3 linked regions of the Alligator mississippiensis genome follow. The protein of the gene in region 1 interacts with the protein of each later gene in a pairwise test. Links are inferred from orthologs where the notes say so. Each region holds a gene or a part of one and is shown in the gene's direction. Other genes may lie near its edges.

The links.
Region 2: the proteins of SAXO1 (region 1) and FHL3 interact in binary tests that used the Homo sapiens proteins (3 or more experiments, as listed by UniProt). The two-hybrid records come from large-scale screens. The link is inferred for Alligator mississippiensis from reciprocal best matches to the Homo sapiens genes SAXO1 and FHL3.
Region 3: the proteins of SAXO1 (region 1) and STK16 interact in binary tests that used the Homo sapiens proteins (3 or more experiments, as listed by UniProt). The two-hybrid records come from large-scale screens. The link is inferred for Alligator mississippiensis from reciprocal best matches to the Homo sapiens genes SAXO1 and STK16.

What each region holds. Positions count from the first base shown.
Region 1 is NC_081826.1:178,423,753-178,427,495, forward strand, and holds the start of SAXO1 (stabilizer of axonemal microtubules 1), read left to right. Parts: upstream 1-1,363; coding exon 1,364-1,517; intron 1,518-3,743. UniProt on the Homo sapiens protein: May play a role in the regulation of cilium length. Stabilizes microtubules at low temperature.
Region 2 is NC_081829.1:1,230,633-1,234,375, reverse strand, and holds the start of FHL3 (four and a half LIM domains protein 3), read left to right. Parts: upstream 1-1,202; 5' UTR 1,203-1,450; intron 1,451-1,752; 5' UTR 1,753-1,806; coding exon 1,807-1,843; intron 1,844-1,907; exon of another isoform or gene 1,908-2,672; coding exon of another isoform or gene 2,673-2,679; intron 2,680-3,743. UniProt on the Homo sapiens protein: Recruited by SOX15 to FOXK1 promoters where it acts as a transcriptional coactivator of FOXK1.
Region 3 is NC_081827.1:254,253,687-254,257,429, forward strand, and holds STK16 (serine/threonine-protein kinase 16), read left to right. Parts: upstream 1-1,206; 5' UTR 1,207-1,335; coding exon 1,336-1,421; intron 1,422-1,514; coding exon 1,515-1,734; intron 1,735-1,817; coding exon 1,818-1,951; intron 1,952-2,037; coding exon 2,038-2,158; intron 2,159-2,278; coding exon 2,279-2,374; intron 2,375-2,452; coding exon of another isoform or gene 2,453-2,574; intron 2,575-2,658; coding exon 2,659-3,015; 3' UTR 3,016-3,216; downstream 3,217-3,743. Other genes in the region: GLB1L (beta-galactosidase-1-like protein), read right to left, coding at 174-324, 403-566, 646-705. UniProt on the Homo sapiens protein: Membrane-associated protein kinase that phosphorylates on serine and threonine residues. In vitro substrates include DRG1, ENO1 and EIF4EBP1. Also autophosphorylates. May be involved in secretory vesicle trafficking or intracellular signaling.

The sequences.
Region 1 (3,743 bases):
CCTCACTGCTCCAGCTAGGGAGCAGAGGGGTAGGGCCAGCCCTGCTCTCTGGAGCAGATGGCACAGACCAGCCCAGGACTAAAAAGCATGCTGGGTGGCCTCTGATTTAACTTGAACCAGCAAGAGGTCTGGGACAGAAGTTTCATAAACCAGTTTGACCCAAATCAGTTAAGTCCAATACTACATTCAACCAGGTTTATCTTAAACCAGTTTCAGTCATTTTGATACTGGTCTACGTGCACTGAGCTTCTGTTCTGACAGGCTTAAACCAGTTTCTGATCACTTAAACTGGTTTAGTGTAACTTCTGTCCTTAGCCCTGCAGTGCAAAACAAGAAGTTTTATTGGGCTAAAGTCCAGGAAAAATGCATATTCTTGAGCACCATTTGCTTGTAGTTTGTTAACAAACTGCTCATGTATATGTATATAGAGAGCACCCTTGTAACAATGTGTATGTGTACACATAGGGTGCGTCCAGATGAGTGCACATGTGTGGCATGTGGTGCTGCACGGTGGCACACACTGCACGCGCTGCATACATCCCCAGGGAAATGCATGTTCCTGCTCATGGAGATGTGCCCATAGGGTGCATCTACATGAGCTATTATTGTGGTTCAATAAAGTATGGCACAGTTCATGCCAGAATCATCTGCTTCTGGTCTCAGTCTTCACCTGCGCCCAGGACCACAGGAGTTTAAGCCAGGTTGGAGCAGCCAGCTTGGGTGGTCAGCCTCAGACTCCAGGTGGTGGCATCAGGCAGTGGAGGGGCACAAGAGTGCCAAAACTGTGGACCAGTACAGATGATCCCCAGAGCCTGCTGCTAGCCCAGGGCTGCTCTGTCTTGGCTCAAACTGCTGCAGTCCCAGTCACTATCCACATGTGCATTTCTGTGCAGCAAAGAGCTCTGCTATAGGATAGTACTATCTTACAGCCAAGTTAATTAATTAATTTACTGTACCTTAATACTGGCACATGTAGACAGTGATGCTTTATTGCAGAGCTAATTGGTCATCTCCTCAGTAAAGTACACATGTAGATGCACTCGGAGAAAAGCAACATACTAGTACCGGTCCCTGGGCACATTCTGACCCAACTTTAGTGTTGTGCTTAATTTGGAAGAAAAAAATCATGAAGGAACATAAACCAGCATCATGATATAAATCATAGTTCTTACAATTAGTTTTATGGTGATGTTCAAAAGAAAAATCTGGAGTTGTTGCAGAAAGGCCTTATTGCACAACAGTCAGTTTTTAAAAAGGTTGTTCAAGGCAGTGACGTTTCTTCATTATCCAGCTACATTGTACATAACAAAGAGGGATAAACCTCCTTACTGACAGTGAGTTCTTCAAAGACTATGCAGAAAATATGGATATATTTTGCCCAGAAAAAGAGTCTGTTAGTAGTCAGGTCAGCTTCTCTAAAATGATGGTGTCATGCAGAGTTGAAGACATTGGTGATGATCTTAAACTACAGCTTCAAGATGTTGCTGACAATTTTGTGGCATATTCAGTCACTTCAGGTAAGAGTACCAATGTTACAGGTACTTCTCAGATCCTTATTTTCTATTAGTGGAGTTGAGAAGACTTTCAAATACACAAAAACGTCCTTTGGCTTGAAAGACTGAAGCAGAAGAGGAAACGGGTTTAATGCAGTGTTCTCTTCATTTATGTAAATAATATAAAGTGGGTATCTCTCACTGGTGTCACTACAGATGGTGCCCTATCCATGTTGAGGCAAAGGATTGTGGACTAAAGCAGAAAGTTATTGAATAACACAATGTAGCCACAATTTTTGGTATCACCACAATGCCTACCTATCAAGAAGCTATTTTTGCTCAGGTTCTCAGGGTGGACCATTTCATGAACATTGCTGTAATATATGTGTGAACTTCATCCCATCTAGAGGCCTCATTCACCAGCATTTTAAAGCTGTGGGTGACCGAGCTTGGGATCCAGGAAAGGGGCCGGCTGGGTTGTAGCCACAAACCCGGCACTTGCTACCGCTGGAGTAGAATTAGGCACAAACGCATACTGGTTCAAACAAAGATGGCTTTTACTTACACTGTCACGATGTACAGCATAGGAAGAAGGTTAACTTCAAACTCCAACTTCTGTTACAATCAAACCAAGGAGCTCTTATAAGACGAGATATCTTTAACCTGGGTCTGAACTCGAGCATGCAGGACACGGGGGTATGTCGGGGGAGGTCGTCAATGGGGAGTCGTCGGTGGGTGATCAGACCGCCAGGTTCCACTCTGAGACGAGCACGGAGTTCTCCAACCTGGGCGGAAATGACTCCAACCCTTTATACGACTAGCGAGCCAATTGCCAGCCGCCACGTAGGAATAATTTGAAACCGGCCAATTAGAGTATGCACATTTGCATATGAGTGGCGGGAACTTTTCCACGCCAGGGCTCTCCACCGTGCCGAGAATTCCCCTGTCTCGCCGTGCCTTGTGCTAGAAAGTTCCACTGTACCAAGGCACTCAACTGATCAGTTCTGACATGCCCCCTTGCCGACGGTACAGCTGGAATTTGAAGCACATGCACGCCGTCTAACTCGTCACTCCTCTCGAGGGGTAACCGGCTATATACAAAAACATACAACGAAAAAAGTTCGTCCTCAACGGATCGAATCAAATAGTAACCAATACAAACACAAACACACGTAAGTACATTGGTTACAAAAAGTTCAATCACGAGGAGTTCAGTAGGTGTCATGGCAAAGTCGCATGTCAGACCTCTGCGTCTTCTCTTCCTCTCTCTGGGTCCGCCTCTGACATGTATCTTGAACCTCGAACAAAAAAAACTGCAAAGAAAGCATTCTTTGAACAATTAATTAACTTATATTACACTATTTATATGGAGTCGCACGCATAATGGGACAGCTAATCAAATCCCCTTTGCGGCTTCCCACTCTCTCCCAAGCACACGAAACAAGTGCTTGGACACGATTCAGCTCTGGACGATTCTCGCACACCCGCAGATGCACCGTCATGAATGATGATCCACAAGCGGACGCCGCGTGATCTTGTCCGTGCTCAGTGAGACGAGTCTTCTTCTTCCCCTTTCAGCGAAAGATAGCCGCTGACAAACCTTTCACCTATTCCGCCCGCCTGGTGATAGGCGATGTGGGCGCCTAGCTCCACAGCATTCGACACGTGGTGTCTCCCACTGTGCCAGGGACAGCTTCTAACTAACTCTAACTCCATCGGGTCTTCCCCAAATCCCGATTCCGATCCTGATCCTGTTAATCCTGATCCTGTTCGTGACGCCATGTGGGTGACCGAGCTTGGGATCTGGGAAAGGGGCCGGCTGGGTTGTAGCCTCAAACCCAGCACGTAGATGGGTACTTGCAACCGCTGGAGTAGAATTAGGCACAAACGCGTACTGGTTCAAACAAAGATGGCTTTACTTACACTGTCATGATGTACAGCGTAGGAAGAAGGTTAACTTTAAACTCCAACTTCTGTTACAATCAAACTGAGGAGCTCTTATAAGATGAGATATCTTTAAACCGGGTCTGAACTCGAGCATGCAGGACACGGGCGTGTGTCGGGGGGGGGGGGGTCATCGACGGGGAGTCATTGGCGGGTGATCAGACCACCAGGTTCCGCTCCGAGACGAGCACGGAGTTCTCCAACCCGGGCAGAAACGACTCCAACCCTTTATACGGCTAGCGAGCCAATTGCCAGCCGCCACATAGGAATAATTTGAAACTGGCCAATTAGAGTATGCGCATTTGC
Region 2 (3,743 bases), on another chromosome or scaffold:
GGCTCACCTCCCGTTTCTAATCCACACTGTCCCGCTGGCCGGCACGTACGCGTGGGAAGGCCAGTTGCTCCGTCCACTTAATGAGGAGCGTAAAGGTTAGGGAGGAAAGTGTCCGGACTTCCACGCTCTAGCTCTTCCCCGCACCCTCGAGCTCCTAGTTGTGAGACGAGAAACTTCTGCTTGTCACGAGCTATTCGAAGTCGGCAGCGCGGTCTGCCGCGGGAGCTCAGCGAGGGGAAGGGGTTTGCAGGATCCGCCAGCTAGCCCTTCCATCGCGAGCAATGACAGAAACAGCATCCCCTGAAACGCAAGGCTGGCTCTGGCTAATGGATCGTTGTACGGATTTGAGGAATTAGATCCGCGCCATTCGATAGCTCCGGCCGGGAGGGTTGCAGAAGCATTGTCCGCTAGCGCCCTTGCAGGGCTGGCAGAAGCAGCTCTTGGGGTTGTGTTTTTCAAGTAAACTGAGCCCAAGATCCCGGTTTTTGTTGGGTTGAAGTCTCGTGGGCCCGGGAATCCCTTCCAGCTGCTGCGGATGTTTGTCAGAGCTGGCGCATCCCATGCACAGATGTGGCCCCTAAAATATGGCAGCTGTGAGGGCGCGAGAGAGCCCGGCCGTTTACCCTGACGTGTACACACGGCTTTGCTGGCTGGGGTGTGTTTGCCCGGGCCGCTAGAGCTCCCCTAAACCGGCTCCGCTCGCAGCTCCTCGTCCGGGGAGAGGAGTGACTGGTCAGCCTCTCCTCGGCACCCCTTTGAGAGCCAGCGTGGGCTTGAGTAATGCTAATCGACTTAACCGGGGAAACAGTCCCAGCTGCTCAGAGCGGAGCCCCCGGTTTCCATCCTAGCCCCCTGCTTTCTGTGGGTTTTAGCTGCGGTCATGAAAATCCTTTCCAGGCGGAGCCTGGCTCCTGAGGTCTCCCCGAGGGTTTAAAAAAAAAATGCAAAATGCAAATTGCAAAAACAGTTGGCAGCTATTCCTGGAGGAGCACCGGGTTACGGGTCTCCCCTCTTCCTGCAGCTTCAAAGCAGCCTCCATGGGGTAGGACCAGGCTCCCGAGGAGGATTTCCCCCCTGGGTGCTGGGCGCATTGGAAGTAAAGCTGTTTCTGTTCTGGTTCAGCGGCAGGCGTGGGCCCTGCCCTTCTGGCGGGGGCAGGATGCATGTGTTAACTCCGCCTGGGAGCCTGCTGCTTGGCAGGGGAGGAGCCTGCCTGGTTTTGGGGCTCTTCCGAGGAAACAAAAGAAATTGCATGAAGTGCAAAATGCATCGTAACTCGAGGGTCTGATTGCGACGGGCCGGAGCCAAGAAATTCCTCCCAGGGGGTCACAAGCCGTTGTGCTGCGCCAGGGCTTTCACACGCAGCGCTCTGGGAGAGGGAAGAGCAGGGGAGTGTCCTGGGTGGAAATGCTCTGGTCTTGTCGGCACTTGAAAGTTAACCTGGAGTAAGGTAGGGTGTGAATTTAACTTCTGCGGCTGTTCCCAGCGTGCCTCGTCGGTGTGAAGCTTGCCCCGCTCTAGCAGCGGGACAAGGCGGAGGGACGTCTGGTCTCGCTGCGGCCGGAGGAGCCTAATTCTACACGCCCGTGTCCCTCCTTGCTTGCCCCGCTTCTCCTTGCAAAGCGGGGTGCCTCTGGGGACCTTCAGGGTGCAGGCCTGGGGTGCATTCGCAAGGAGACGCGGAGCAAGGGAGGGAGGACTCTGGCAGGGCTGGGTCTGCGGTGCATCCTTGCCTGTGTATTCCCCGGACAGGGACCGAGAGACTCGCTGCCTCGTGTCACCGGCGTGAGCCGTGGCAGCCTGGAGATGACGGACTGCCCTGCTGCGCGGAGGTGCCGCGAGGGTGAGTGGCTCGGTGTGCGTGAAGCAACATAACCGTCGGGGAGGTGATGCACAACCGGACCCACAGAATATGTGTGTGTGGTCTTTGGTGGGCGATGGGATGGAGAAGTCCCTTTCCTACTGGAGAAGCCACTCCTCCTTCGAGAGCTGCCCTTACCCATGCCTCGGTCCTGGAGGGACGGGCGAGCATGTGGCCGTCCGTGCTAGCACTCGCTGCATAGAAATCCACCCCAAAAACACCCACCCGTATCATGAGCGGCTGCCGCCGACTCAGGAAACACGGTGGTACCAAGAGATACGGCTCGGAGGGTCCCTTCAGAGAGTGCCGGGCCAGGTGGGATTATTGCGGCCTTTATTAAAGAGGAGCGTGCAACGTGGTCCGAGCAAGCCTGGCCGCGTGACGCAGGCTTGCCGACCCAAGCAGGTCCCGTCAGCCGCAGCGGGGTTTGCTTCGGCAGGATTGGGGTCAGTAGGAGGGTGGCTCTCGGTGTGCCCAGAAACGCGCTCTCTGCCCCGTGGCCGGGGCCAGGGCCACGTGTGCCTCCTGTGCACATGCAGAGTACCTTGAGTGGCAAGAGCCCAGGCTCCAGCCCCGTGTGATGAAACCTGAACCTCTGTCGGAAACGCTACTCCTGCGCTGATGTCAGCCCCCGGTTTATGATGCGACTGCTTTTGTTTCTGGGTGAGCACTTCAGTGTTTTGCTGGTGCGCCGGGATTGACTGGGGCACCGTCTCCCAGCACACCTGCTGCAGCCGACTCCAGCGCGGCTGCCTCCCCGGGACAGGCGGGCTTCCCTTTGCTTTCCTTGCCGATCCCCCCGCAGCCAGCCATGCAAGGTAACTTTCTGCTTTGGGCAAGGGAGTGCTCAGTAGGGCTCGGGCAGCCTGGGGCAGTCTCTTTACCCAAAACTCGTTTTGGGTTTGGCTTGGTGGGGGGCACAGCGGGACTCTGGGCTCCCATCGCTCGCCGTGTTGCACAGACGGTCTTGGAAACTCTTTTCATCTCATGCACGGTTGCACCGGGTGCTTATCTGTGCACACACAAGGTGTTCGCCGCGTCTGGGAGGTCAGCCCCTCTGCCCACCGTGCTGGCTGGCTGGGTCGCAGCTAGTTAAAATCCTGTCCTGCGGCGTGCCACTGTCATCTGCTCCGTGCACGCTTCCCGGGCGCCTTTGCCTGCAGCCCCGTAAGCTCACCTGAGCTTCTTGGTTGCTGCTGAATGAGGATGCAATGCTGGAAATGGGCATCAGGCTGCAGGGCAGGGGCTCCCGGGCTTCGGAAACATCGTGGTTGCATCTGCCCGGGGCCCAGAGAGAGGCAGAAAGCTGCCGTGCCAGGAGAGCTGTTGGAGAGATGAAGAGGCAGTGTGAGCTCCCAGGGCTTTACCCCCTGGAGTCCTTGCTGGGGGCTGTCCTGCCCAGGACAGGTGCCCGAGGTGCGGGTAGCAGGGGCACTAGCCCTGTGAGGTTCGGTAGCATTTGGGGGGCAGGTTGTGGGGAGCTAATGCAGCCCCTTGCTGCTGGGGGAGACGCCTCTGTTCTGGGCACACCGGTCCTCTCGCCCTCGGGCTGACAGCCCTTTCTCGCGTGCCAGCGGCACGGCCCCGCTGCATGCTGGAGCACACAGGCTTCTTGCACACTTCCCAGACTTTTGCTCAGCTGTTTTATTGCCTATAATGCTCTATGTGGAGCACGCTGCCACTGCCTTAAAACGCTGGGTATGTAAGAAAAGAGGGGAAACGCTGCGGCAGAGCAGAGCAGAGCGGCTTGCAAATGGCCAGATCTAGACCGTGGCAGTAATTCACTCCAGATGGGTCTGCTGTAAAGTGGCTGCAGCCCTGCGCTGGAAGGGAAGAAAGCCTCTCCCTGCACACAGTGCTCCGGGGCCATCTCTACTCTCGC
Region 3 (3,743 bases), on another chromosome or scaffold:
TGGGGACACGCGGCCGTCAGGGCTGAGGCAGGGGCTGGGCCGGGCGCTGGTCCTGCCTCGGACCCCGCAGCGCCGACACGTCAGGATGCAGCCCCCCCCCCCCAAACGCCCCCACCCCCAGTGCCCTTGGCAGCCCCCGGGGGGGCCGGTGGAGGGGCGGGGGGGGGCCGCACCATCTCCCACTCGGCGCAGATGTAGGGCCCCGGGCGCAGGATCACCAGCAGCTCCAGCTCCGCTGTCAGGTCCAGGAAGGCCTCCAGGTCCCGGTCCCCGGAGAAGTCGTAGAGGCCGGGCAGCGCCTCGTGGTAGTTCCAGGGCACGTAGCTGGGGGAAGCGGGGCGCGGGCGGGGGTCAGCGCCTGGCGTGGCCCCGGCCCGGCCCCCGCAGACCCCGGGCACTTACACCTGCACGGCGCTGAGGCCGCTCATGTACATCTTGAGGAGCCGGTCGCGCCAGGCGGGCCGCGGCACGCGGGCGTAGTGCAGGCTGCCCGCCACGTAGCGGAAGGGCGCCCCATCCCTGCGGAAGCAGTCGCCCGCGTAGTCCACCTCGAAGGAGCGGGCCGCCTGCGGGCACAGCGGACGCTGGGCAGGGGGCTGGGGGCCGGGGCCCGCCCTGCCCCATCCCAGCCCCCCCAGCACTCACCCCCAGCGCCGGGGGCGCGTCGAGGAGCAGCGGCAGAAGCAGGAGCGGGAGCAGGGCCATGGTGCGGGCGGCAGGTCACATGCCAGCTGCTCCTCCGCCGCGGCCCCTGCTCCCAGCGGCCCCTGCCTGCGAGGGAGGGCGCGGCTCAGCCACGACCCACCCACCGCCCACTGGGGGCCGCACGCACGGGGCCCGCGGGCCGCACCCCCGCCACGCCTTGGGGGCTCCACCTGCCTGGGAGGACCCGCCCCGCCCCGCCCCGCCCCGCACCCCCTCCACTGGGGATACCGCAGCCACGCCCCCAAGCTCCGCCCCCTCAGCCCCTCCAGGGGACCCCGCAGCCCCGCCCTCTCAAACCCTCCACTGGGGGCCCCCCCTCCCCTCCCCCACGGCCCCGCCCCTCCCAAGCCCCGCCCCCCTCAGCCCCTCCACTGGGGACCCCACAGCCCTGCCTCCCCGCCCCCTCCCCAACCCCGCCCCTCCCTTACAGCTCCGCCCTCTCCTCCCTCCCCAAGCCCCGCCCCCTCCCCTCCCCTCCCCTCCCCTCCCGCCCCTCGCGGCGGTTGCTAAGGCGCGGGCGCGGCGCTGTGACGCAGGTCGCGGGGGGATGACGTGAGCGCGGGTCGTGCTTCCGGGTGCGGCGCTGCGGAGCCGGGGCCGGTGACCCCTGACCCCAGGCCCGGGCCCGCCATGGGGCAGGCGCTGTGCCCGTGCCCGCGCGGCACCGTCAGCCTGGCGGGGGCGCGCTACGTGGTGCTGCAGCGCCTGGGCGAGGGGTGAGCGCGGGGGTCACGCGGGGCGGGGGGGGCGCGGGGGGCAGGCCCGCGGCGGCGCCCCGTGACACGCGGCGGGGGGGGTGTGCCCCGCAGGGGGTCGAGCTACGTGGAGCTGGTGGAGGGGCTGCGGGACGGGCGGGCGCACGCGCTGAAGCGCATCGTGTGCCACGACGCGGAGGCGAGCGGGGCGGCGCTGCGCGAGGTGGAGATGCACCGGCTGCTCGCCCACCCCCACGTGCTGCGCCTCGAGGCCCACGGCCTGGTGGACAAGGGCGCCACGCGCGAGGCCTGGCTGCTGCTGCCCTTCTTCGAGGTGAGGCGGGCGGCCCGGGGCCGGGCCGGGCCGGGGCGCGGGGCCTGGCCGCCGGGTAACGAGGGCCCGCGTCTCCCCGGCAGCGCGGGACGCTGTGGAGCGAGGTGGAGGCGCTGCGGGACAAAGGCGCCTTCATGGGCGAGGAGCGGATCGTGCTGGTGCTGCGCGGGATCTGCCGCGGGCTGGAGGCCATCCACGCCAAGGGCTACGCCCACCGGTGAGCGCCACGCCACGCCCTGCCACGCCCCGGCCCCGCCCACAGGGCCGCCCGTGACGCCCGCCCGCCTGCCTCTCCCGCCGCAGGGACCTCAAACCCACCAACGTGCTGCTGGGGGACGACGACCAGCCCGTGCTGATGGACCTGGGCTCCGTGAACCAGGCCCGCATCGAGGTCCGCAGCTCCCGCGAGGCCATGGCTGTGCAGGTGCCGGAGGGGGGCTCCTGGCAGCCGGGGGGAGGGCACCGGGGCCGCAGCCGTGCCGGACGGTGCCGCGGAGCCAGGCCCCACCCCCACCGCCCGGCTCAGCCTGTCCTCTGCCCCCAGGACTGGGCGGCGCAGCACTGCACCATCTCGTACCGGGCGCCCGAGCTCTTCACCGTGGACAGTCAGTGCGTCATCGACGAGCGGACGGACGTCTGGGTAAGGGGCCCACCCCCGGCTGGGGGGCGGGTCGAGGGCGCCGGGGCCGAGGCCGGGGCTGACCGGGCCGCCCTGCAGTCCCTAGGCTGCGTGCTCTACTGCATGATGTTCGGGGAGGGCCCCTACGACATGGTCTTCCAGAAGGGAGACAGCGTGGCCCTGGCCGTCCAGAACCCCGTGGCGGTGCCGCCGCACGCGAGGTGAGGAGCCGGTGCGGCCCCTGGGGGGGGAGCTGTAGCGGGGCTGGTCGCTGCCCTGCTGCTCACCCGCGCTCTGCCCGGCAGGTACTCGCCCGCCCTGGAGCAGCTGCTGCGCTCCATGATGGCGGTGAACCCCCAGGAGCGGCCGTACGTCGCCCACATCCTGGACCAGCTGGAGGGGCTGCAGCCAGCACCGCCGGGCCAGGACACCACCCGCATCTGAGCCCTGCAGCCCTGCCTCCCCCCCCCCCGGGGTGGGTTTCGAAACACGGTGTTAGCACAGCCATGCCCCCTGCTCCCATTGGGCGAGCACAGCTGCTCGCCGTGGAGGCCGCAGGCTCACAGCCTCCCCTGGGAGGGCCTGGCTGCCCCGAGCTTGCTTGTGCGGGGCTGGGGGCAGTGCCCACGGCGCAGCCTCAAGGGGCCCTTGCCCAGCTATAGTGGTCTCATGCACGGAGCGGGGTGGGAGCGAGGCAGCGATGGGCTCGGTGTCACCGGTGCCGGCTGGGCAGAGCCCAACCTCACTGGGCACCAAGCGGTCACATTCCTGCTGGCGCAGGCGCATGGCCCAGCCCGCCGGATGCTGCCTGGAGCTTGTGTCTATTCACGTGTCCATCCAGTAAAGCTTCTTTACAGAAAAAAGCATTCCTGGTCCGTGGGGCTGGGGGGAGCACGAAGCCAGGGGAGATGGGAGCACAAGTTAACACTGCCCCAGCTAGGGTGGGGCCGAGGTCTGGCCAGTGGTTAAATGCAAACGCAGGGCCCAGGCCCAGCTGCGCCAGGAGCTGCTCAGCGCCTGCCCCACAGAGGGAGGGGCCTCTGGCCGCTCCAAGTGCAGGCCGGGACCTGGCACTGGCCCTGCTCAGCCAAGCACAGGCAGCAGCTCCGGGCACGGAGCCAAGGGCCCCGGGGCAGGGCCCTGCCTGCCACACACTGGAGCTGAAAGCCCTGCTGCCTTCCCTCTCCCAGGCAGAGCTGTGGGGCTGTGCTCCACCCCGCAGCCGTGGCAGGCCCAGGGAGAAGAGCAGGCCCAGGGTGGCATCCGCGCGAGGCAGGCAGGGTCCCGTCTCCCCTCGCCGCCGGTCCAGTGTTACACAGCTGGCTACGCCCAGCCCCAGGGCAAGGGAGGCGGGCGTCCTGCCTCCGAGGCCTCAGGCCTACTGCCCTCC